3 separate regions of the Mus musculus genome follow, and all the other regions are reported to be linked to region 3. The links are microRNA targets in miRTarBase. Many come from high-throughput screens and were not tested one by one. Region 3 holds a microRNA gene; each other region holds the end of a gene's coding sequence.
The links. Region 3 holds the annotated microRNA mmu-miR-1191a (CAGUCUUACUAUGUAGCCCUA, at 2,074-2,094, shown strand). A microRNA usually pairs through its seed, bases 2 to 8, with sites in the 3' UTR of a target mRNA and lowers its output. Matches are read on the target gene's strand: a 7mer-m8 pairs with bases 2 to 8, a 7mer-A1 pairs with bases 2 to 7 and ends in A, and an 8mer does both.

Region 1 (3,255 bases), not on the chromosome of region 3:
GAATAGTTATGAAATTCCTATGTCTATATTAATAAACAGTTAATTACTGTCTTAGTAGTATAGAGAATTTGTTCTGAAGTTCAGGGTGCTCTTGTAAGGCGAACTTGAGCGCAGTGGAGCTGTGATGTACATGTATGGGTAAAGGACACCATTTCCTTACGCTCTTTCAGTACTTTCTTTCTAACTTGAAATAGTTTTGCCAATCCAAGAAAATAAAAGTACACCTTTTGAACAAGTAAATATGGTGAGCACTAGCTTCTGTGATAAGGAGGAGTGCATCTGTCAGCTGTGAGCTCCCTGGCTTCCCACGGATGTGTTCAAAGTGGCCCTGCACCCGTTTAACCCATTTCTACACTGATAGGTTACTCCTGTCCTAGAACCCAGACAGACTGACTGCATGAAAGAAGAAAGCGTTAGATTGCGAGCCCTTGCGACTCTTGGGAATGAAGATGATGCATAGAATGAGGATGTGGCTTGGGGGATGTACGTGTCGTGTTAGGTTGGTTGTAATGGCTCTTCCGGCTTCTCCGTGTCAGATGCTGGTCCCTTTTCAGGATGCCCCTGTGGAAGTGGAAGAGAACACAGAGCTACCTGACTACCTGCCTGAGGATGAGAGTCCCACAAAGGAGCAGGACAAGGCAGTGTCCCGGGTTGGATCGCACCCTGAAGGTGGAGCCAGCTGGTTGAGCACAGCAGCAAACTTTTTATCCAGATCATTTTACTGGTGACTTCAACTTCAGTTTGGGGCTCAAGGACTGTGCAAACCAACAGGGGGCCAGCTTTCCATTGTTGTGGTGAACTGTCAAGTGCAATTTGCAATAAATTATCATGGAAAGTTTCTAGATTACATGACTATGTATGCTGCATTTTACATCTTATTGGACATTTTCCGCACAAGACAGAGGCTACAGGTCAAGTTTGTTTATGAAGGTATTTTGGTATTGTTTTCCTTTGCTTAATTGCCTCACATTTTGTTCTGAAAAACATGGGTCCACTGTTAAAACCGAATGTATGTGTAGCTTTATTCTGTTTCACAGGCGCATGTGATTGGAAAACTCATTTTCTCCTCCAGCCTCAGGAGACTTCTAAAAAGTTTTGCGTAGCTCAAGTTGTGCATGAATTACCGAATATATTATTTTTCAGCTTTTCTTCATGAACGATATTTGACATGTGCTTTGGTACCCTTCTCTGAAAGTTGAAAACCTACCTACTTAGTCCCTTCTGTGCCTTTTTTATTTTGCCAACCATGTTTTATGGAAAAGACATTAGCAATTACATTTTGCAAATGGAATTATGTTCATTTGAACATAGAAGTACCTAAAAAGAAAAAAAAAAAACCTCTACAAAAAGCTGTACAGTCATACTTGCTGTAATTTTAATAAGATTACTGTAGGCCAGTTAAAACACAGGGATATTTGCTGTAAAGTGCTTTTGGAAGGATTTGAATGTGGCCAAGCCTGGCTCTGTTGACTCCTGCTCACCAGTTAGAGTGGCTTTTAAGAATTAAGTCCACTGTGATGTTTGAGCAGCAGATGGTCTCTTGGCCTTACTCTGTGGTGACACTGTATCCTGCTAGAGAAAATTAATAGTTTAAACAACTGACAAACTTGAAAAGGAAATTGGATGCCTAGAATGCCGCAGTGCCACCTTGGTTGGTCTGATGTCAGACATCAACACATACCCATCCCAGAGATGCTGGGCTTATTGCCTTTTTGTGGTTATTAAGAAAGGGCTGCAGTCAGTTTGACTAAAACGGGATCCACGTTATTGCTTAGAAAGGAAGCAAGCCAGCAGTGATCACTTATTCTTATTCTTCATATCTATCCAGAAAACTGACTTCAGTGAAGGTAAGATATATACAGACATACACTTGTGTTTTTCTTTAAGACTGAAGTACACGTATGCGATGCTTTCTTAAGATTCTAACATATTTGACAACTAATATTTCTTTTTAGAAGTCAGCTAAATCTATTTAAAGGCAACATCATTAAAACTAACAGGAAGAAACTGAAATGCATCTTTACCAGGTAGAGCTGCTGTTTTGCTACTTGGAGAAAGTGAAGGGAAGTTGGACCCTGGAGGGTTTCCTTACATCTTTGCTGTCTCTCTCTTAGAGATCATTGAAGCCATCCAGTGTTGCTGAGGAGAAATAACCGTACAATCCTATGGCCCATGAGACCATTAAGTTTATTAACATTTGGCTTTCTGGAAGGAGGGTGTTGAAGGCTTTTAGAGCATTTTCCCCACGTCTGGTCTCTGATTCAAGTGCTATGTACAAGCAGAAAGCAGACATTTTCAGGGCACATCTCTAAGCTGTGTAACTGCTTGCTGCCAGAACCAGACGTGTTGAAGACAAAACAACAAATCACCTCCTTTCTAGATCCATTAAAGCAAAGTTTACTTTCTGTTTCAACAGGTTTTTATTTTATTTTGCATTGTCACACATTTATTTAAAAACTGTAGCCCTTTTGGTAGTGATGGTCCAGGTCGGTTGGTATTTCAGACTGAAGTTTGTGTGTGTCTAGGTGTTCAAGGACTCTCAGAGATCTCAAGGCAACTATAATGGCAGTTTTTGAAATATATTGTAAGATAATAAAAGATAACAATGAAAATCAAGCAGTTATTGTATTTTTAAATTTTTATTTATCAACTTCCCGCCCATCCATCCATCCATCCATCCATCCTCCATGTCTCTGTGTGTACATGCCTGGGGGAGTCAGGAGACTATTAGGTCACGGGAGCTGGAGTTACAGGCAGTTGTGAGCTGTCTGATATGGTTCTGGGAGTTGAGCTCAGTGCTCTGCAAGAATAATTCATGTTCTTAACCACTGAGCTATTTCTCTAGCCTTGGGATATTGTAGTATAAAGATTGATACGTACGTACGTGTGTGTGTGTGTGTGTGTGAGATGCTGGGTATCCATCCAGTGACTCAGGATTCTTTTTAAGCTTGTTTGAAATTATCTATTTATACATTTAGAGACAAGGTCTTACTATCTAGTCCAAGCTGGCCTGAACCTTTTATGTGGCCCACCTTAACCTTGAACTCTAGATTCTCTTGCTTACATCCTGAATGGCAGGTATCATCATGCCAAGCTCTTTGGCAGTTTGCACACATAATGTATGGCACATAGTCTTAGTTCTATAGTTGCAAGAGTCAGGGGAAGTACCTCACCTGTTACTGTGTAATTATGTGTAGACCCCTGAGCTGGACAAACCAGACCTGCACTCTTGTCATGTTTTTGGGTTTGGTTTTC
Region 2 (3,255 bases), not on the chromosome of region 3:
CTTTTCTTTCTTTTTTCTTTTCTTTTCTGTTTTTCGAGGCAGGATTTCTCTGTATAGCCCTGACTGTCCTGGAGCTCACTTTGTAGACCAGGCTGGCCTCAGACTCAGAAATCTGCCTGCCTCTGCCTCCCAAGTGCTGGGATTAAAGGCGTGCGCCACCATGCTCGGTGGGTGGAGGCGTTTTCTTATCTGAGGTTCCTTCTTCCCAGTTACCTGGGGTTTTCAGTGGGCATCGCTTTGTTACCTGGGGTTTTCAGAGGGCACCACTTTGTGCTCAGACCAGGGATGATGGAAAGTTACAGAATGAATACCCACGACCACCCCACCCCCCACTCCCAAAGAGAAGCCACACGCTACAGTAAGCAGTGGCTAGGGTAGAGGTCCCAAGGAATGCCAAGAGCCCTAGGCAGCTTATGGAACCTACAGGGACTGGGAGAAAGTGCGCCTTGCAGGGATCTCACAGCAGGAGCCCCTCAGGGTAGCCGCCACTGTGTTGTTGCTGAGAGTGGAACCCAGAGCCTTGTGCATACTAGGCAAAAGTTTTGCTCACCCCAGACCCTTCGGGTAGGTTTTTTAACAGGTGTGACCGGCCAGAGCTCCGGGCCCTGGGCCGTTAGGGTCCCCCAGGCTGCTCTCTGAAAGGCTTTGGTTTCTAATGCAGGAATTCACCGTCCCCCAGCTCCGTGGCCAGCAGTGACTCAGGAAGTACAGACGAAATCCAGGAAGACCTGGAGCGGGAGGCGGATGTGGAGCCCATGGTCAGCTGATGACGGAGGCCCGACGCTCCTGGTGGTCTTGGTGATGGGGTCCAGCCTCCTCTCCCCACTGAGCCGTGTGGGCTCCACTCCTCGACACAGACTTCTGTCCTCCCTTCTCCGGAGGCCCAGCGGGACCGCTGCTTCCTTCCTTCCTCCACCACCGACCCATGGAATGGTGCTGTCGATTTTTCTATTGTCCCCACACACACCACAAACGCAGACTTTTGTGCGTCGATGCAGTGCAACTGTGCCTTCTCCCTTAAGCTGAGCCACTTTGAGCTCCAAAGAATTCTTCCTAGCAGGTGTTTTTTTAAATATAAAACTCTAAGGTGAGGGTGGGGCCTGGAGGCGTGGTAGCTTTTGGTTTTCTCCCTCCCACCTGCTCCTCTGATTGGACATGAGCTTTGCTCCCTCCCTCTGTCCCAAGATGACTTGCGGTGGTCTGCTTTCTCAAGGAAGTAGACTGTGTTACCTCCAGAGCTGGGCGAGGAGGAGTCGTCAATACTTTCTCACCCAGGGATAGAGTGGTGGACGGAAGTGGAGGGAGGGAAGACCAATTTTTTTCTTCTTCTTTTGGATCTAGTGGCGATGTATCGGGGAAAGGCACTGTGGGGGAAGGAAGAACCTCACTGTGTTTAAACTATGCAAAAAACAAAAACAAAAAACAAACAAACAAAAAAACCTAAAAGCAGCTTGCCTTATATCATTGGGGAAGGCAGGCCCTCTCTCAGACTTCTGGGAACTGGGAGAGAGGCCAAGGTTGGCATGAGTCCCTCATAGCCTCTGAGGTTCAGAGGTGGCTTTGGGGGTGGTCCCAGTCAGATTGCTGGTAAGGCCTGCCTGCATTCTGCAAGCCGGCCCACTGGACTGATGGTTTTCTTGGGGACCTCTGTGGGGTGGGGTGGGGTGGGTGGTGGTCTTTTATTTTCCTGATGACTTGATGTTCATTCCCGCCTCTCCAATCACCTGCCAGGTTCCATGGTTGTAATTTCTCTGTGAGAAAGTATGAACAGGCCAGGCCTGCTACCTACTCTGTCCTCCACAGTACCGTCTTGGTCCTCCGTTGTCCCTCTGGCTGGGGGGAAAAAGCCTTGTTGGGGGGGGGGGAGTGGCATGGCTGCTGGCAGGCTGGCAATGACTGGAGAGAAGCCTCAAGTGAGGACCGTCCTCATTCATACATGCTTTCCATACCCATCTGTCTGGACGCTGAGCCAGTGATTCCCCAAGGCTCCCCTGGGGCCTGAGGTAAGGGGCCATAAGATAGAGCATCCGTCTATCAGAGAGCAGCTGGCGACTTGCCTAGCAACAATCAGGTTTTGTTTTTATTTCTTTCCTTATTTTGGGGTCCACTCTAGTGGTTTTGATGGCCTATGTTGTTTTTATTGACCCAGTGGGTTCCTCTGGAGTTCAAAGGAACAAAATGTCCCCAGGGATCAGAACCCATGGCCCTCTGAGGCCTGGGTGGTAAAGGGCAGAGGACTCTGGAACCATAGTGGTACCCGAGCCTCCTCTTTATCCCTCTGTTTCTCTCTAGGTGGTTCCATTATCTGTTTTGCACTTAGAGCCAGTGTACATAGTAGGCTTATGTATGGATAGAGAGGAGAGAGGATGTGTTTGTTGGTGGCTTGTAACTTATCAGAACTTGGTGGCCTTTCTTACGTGTGTCTTCCATGATGTGGGGAGGGGTTTCCCATTGGTCCCTGTGCAGGTACTTGGAGGGACAATTGTTTGGGAAAAGACACAGCCCCTGTCCTCACTATTCTCTTCCCCTTTCTCACCAATCCTTCTTTTAAAGGTTACAGGGTTCATACACTTCTGGTTATTATTATTGTGTGTTATTGATATTATTGTTTTGGTTTTATTTTATTCTATGTTATTTTTTTAACCAAAGGTTATCAGAGCCAGATGGGCCTGGACCTTAGCTGCTGTAAAGATTTCCGTTTCTGTGAGGGCAGGAGGAGGGTTGCCCTCATGGGTCCTTGACTGAGGTTGGGGACCGTTTCCATCCAGCGGTAAAGCGGTAGAGTCTGGTAGTCAGGTGGGCAGAGCAGAAGCCAGCCCTTGATCGTTCTTCATGGAGGTGGTGGGCTGACATGTATCTCTAGCGTTAAGACAGGAAGCAACAGCGTAAACGTTTGAGGGGATGGCTGTGTACACAGCTACTGTGTAGTTGCTGGTCTCTGGTGTTATTTAACTTTCCCACCTGTATACATAGGTCATTTGTCTGGTGTGCATGAGAAAAGCAGACTCCTTTGGGTTCCCTCCTGCTGACTTTCAAAGTCTGCTTTCCCCTGGGAGGTGGAGCTCTGAGGCAGGAGGATGAGTGGAGAGGAGCAAGGGTGTGGTAGGCATGTTTCCTGGCTTGGTCTGGGCTCTGGGCCTGGCCTCCTCTTAGTGTTTGGTTTGTTCGTTTCGTAGTTCGTTGCCAGTGGGTCCTGCTTGTGCTCACTGTGAGCCCACAGCTTGCCCAGAAAGACCCCACCCCTCACTGGGGCCG
Region 3 (3,255 bases):
TGAGGACTTTCTGGGGCAGCTGGAGGTGTTGGGTTTTTTTTTCCTTAGAATGCTATCTCCATCTTCAATATGCCATGAGAGGCAGGACTTCAAATACCCAAGGCATGGAAGCCAGAGGCCTTGCCGTGTACCCACAGAGCCCTACTAACCTTGTGGTAGCTAGGCAGCACCTGGCTGTAACCTAGGCAACTCACATCCTCTTCCTGTCCCCCAGGGGTCCTGATAGGTGTGCAGAATGTGCCAAGCCCTGGCTACATTGAAGACTCTGAGCTACCAGGCCTCTTCCACCCAGTGCCTGGTGCACCCCACCAACCACCATCCTTCCCAGAGGAAAGCTCCCCAGGTGCCCTCTTCCTTCTCTCCAAGCAGGGCAAGAGTTGGCATTACCAGCTGTGGGACTACAGCCAAGTCCGGGAGAGCAACCTGCAGCTGACAGACTTCTCACCCGCAAGGGCTGCCGATGGACAGGTGTACGTGGTACCTGCTGGTGGGGTAGAGGCTGGCCTCTGTGGCCAGGCCCTGCTGCTCAGACCACAGGAGGGAAGCCATTAGCTGGGGCTGGGACACCTGCATTGAACTTAACTCTATCAACATTAGAATGCTTCAGCTTCTTCCCCTAATGTGACATTTTCAGTCCAGTTAGTTTCATTTGATGAGAGTATCTTGAAGGCCGCCTGCCCGGAAATCTTTCACTAGATCACCCCATATATGGAGTCACAAGCTTGACCACTGTCCAAAGTCTAAACTAGTTACCTTCAGAATCAAGCATTCCTTTGACTAAGGGAGACTTGGTTTTGTGGAGGGTTTGTTTTTTAAAGCATGGTCTCTGCCTTGCAGGTGGTAGCACATATTCTAAACCCAGCACTCGAAGGTGCAGCAGCGGCTCTCAACCTGTGGGCCATGCAGCCGTACTTGTACTACTGTGTTTCTTCCACCCCTTCAACCTCCTAATGGTAGACAGGAGAGAAAAGGATGGAGGGGAAAGGGGCCAGCATTATCCTTCAACTACTTGCTGCTGATTGGGGCGTCAAGTTCCTTGGGGGGAAATTTGATCTTTGCTGTCAGGATATCTAATGTCTTCTTCCTCTTTTTTCTTTTCCCTTAAGATTTATTTATTTATTCATTTCATGTATGTGAGTAAACTGTAGCTGTCTTCAGAGATACCAGAAGATGGCATTGGATCCCATTACAGATGGTTATGAGCCACTATGTGGTTGCTGGGAATTGAATTCAGGTCCTCTGGAAGAGCAGCCAGTGCTCTTAACTGCTGAGCCATCTTTTCAGCCTCCCTAAATTTATTCCTTTTGTTTTGTTTTGTTTTGTTTTTTTGGTTTTTTTTTTTTTTTTTTTTTTTGAGACAGGGTTTCGCTGTGTAGCCCTGGCTGCCCTGGAACTCACTCTGTAGACCAGGTTGGTCTCAAACTCAGAAATCTGCCTGCCTCTGCCTCCCGAGTGCTGGGATTAAAGGCACCTAATTTATTCTTGTTTCTTCTTTGTTCACAACTACTTAACAAACCACAACCAACAACCCCTCAACACCCAGGACCCTGGACATTTATTTATATAACATCTGAAAAGCCCCCAGAATTCCCAAGGTCACAGTCTCAGAAACTATTTGCAGATGGCAAAATCATACCCCTGCTACAGCATGAAGCAAATCCCAGCTGCTGTGGACAGCCCATATTCCACACCTGGGATTAAAATGAAAACATACTCCCATAATATTTCTATGTTTTTCAAAGAAACCAAAATTTTTGCTACAGAGTCATGACCCCTTTGGGTGTCAAAAGACCCTTTCACAGGGATTGCCTAAGACCATCAGAAAAAATATATATTTACTTTATGATTCATAATAGTAGCAAGATTATAGTTATAAAGTAATGATGAAAATAACTTTATGGTTTGGGGTCACCACAACATGAGGTTATTATTCAAGGGTTGCAGCATTACAAAGGTTGAGAACCACTGAGATAGAGGTAGCTGATCTGTGAGTTTGGAACCAGCCTGGTCTACATAGCAACATCTAAGCCAGCCAGGGCTACATAGTGAGAACCTGCCTCAAAAGCAAAACAGCAGTCTTACTATGTAGCCCTAGATGGCCTAGAACTCCCTATGCAGTAGGCCAGGTTGGCCTTTGCTTCCTGTGTCCTGGGATTAAAGGCCTGTTCCTACATGCCTAGCCTAGAAGGCTCTTGGTAGTAACTCAGACCCTAGTCGTGGCCCTCCCACCTGAATGTGACATCCACTGGTCTTTCTTTGGGGGAATTGTTAAAGACACTGTCAGTTCACAGAGCAGGACTTAGCCCAGCTTCCTTCTCCTTGGCACACTCAGACTACCCCGTCTACCTGACCGCTGTGCTGGCCTTTCAGATACTGAGACTGAGGTGCCAACGACAGCCTTGAGCTAAATGATGATCACTCTCCTTGAGCTGGCAAGATGGCTTAATGGGTAAAGGTGCTTGTCAAGCCAGATGACCCAGGGCCCCGAGCGACAGAACAAGAACCGATCCCCACAGGCTGCCCTCTCACCTCCATTCACATTCACAAAATTCAAATGTAATAAAAAGATGTTTTAAACCTTACTCCCCCTAACTTCTCCATCTTAGCTCCAATATCATTTCCTCTTCAAAGAGCTCCTGGGATGCCTCCCTTCCACACAGTGAGGAGGAGAGGAATACGATGTTTGTTTGGGTTTTTTTTTTTTTTTTTTAAAGACAGATTTTGTCATGTTCGTTATGCAGTCCAGGTTAACCTTGAACATGCTACATCCTGTCCAAAGCTGCGATGGTGGTACAGGCCTGTAACCCCAGCATTTGGAACACAGAAGCCAGCTAACAGTCCATGCTCATCATCAACTCCATGACAAGTGCAGGGCCAACTTGAACTATGTAAGACTCTTACATAGGCAGTGCAGTGTGTGCCTCTTCTAGTGTATCAGCTCTTCAGGACTGTATGGAAAGTGACAGGCACCCGGGACACCTGCTCAGAAGGGGGCAAACAAGCCTGGGGGGCTGCAGTGCTCCCAGCCAAAGGTCACATTCTAGAGGAGCTATATGGTGACAGTGTCAAGGCACACACCCATCCCAGCACTCTGGAGGCTACACAAGAGGACCTCTAGTTCCAGACCAACCTAAGCTACACAGTTGAGGAGATGGCTCAGCAATTAAGAGCACTCCCTGCTTGCAGAGTTTGGATCCCAAATCAGGCAGGTAGAGCTGTAACTTCAGCTCTGAGAGCAGGCAGTCCAATGCCCTC

Region 1: miRTarBase lists Armc1 as a target of mmu-miR-1191a. Seed matches in the 3' UTR shown: 7mer-m8 at 1,884-1,890.
Region 2: miRTarBase lists Iffo2 as a target of mmu-miR-1191a. The part of its 3' UTR that is shown has no 7-base or 8-base seed match.

What each region holds. Positions count from the first base shown.
Region 1 is chr3:19,131,505-19,134,759 of GRCm38, reverse strand. Armc1 (armadillo repeat containing 1) reads left to right here. Exons shown (of 7, transcript NM_028840.3): 7 at 537-3,255. The coding sequence ends at 728. Among named protein-coding and RNA genes, the nearest start is that of Armc1, 30 kb to the left of the region's middle.
Region 2 is chr4:139,615,667-139,618,921 of GRCm38, forward strand. Iffo2 (intermediate filament family orphan 2) reads left to right here. Exons shown (of 9, transcript NM_001205173.1): 9 at 662-3,255. The coding sequence ends at 767. Among named protein-coding and RNA genes, the nearest start is that of Aldh4a1, 5.6 kb to the right of the region's middle.
Region 3 is chr7:27,203,542-27,206,796 of GRCm38, forward strand. It overlaps Mir1191 (microRNA 1191), which reads left to right and starts at 1,995; the gene lies at 1,995-2,114. It overlaps BC024978 (cDNA sequence BC024978), which reads left to right. Exons shown (of 7, transcript NM_001243888.1): 7 at 215-779. The coding sequence ends at 552.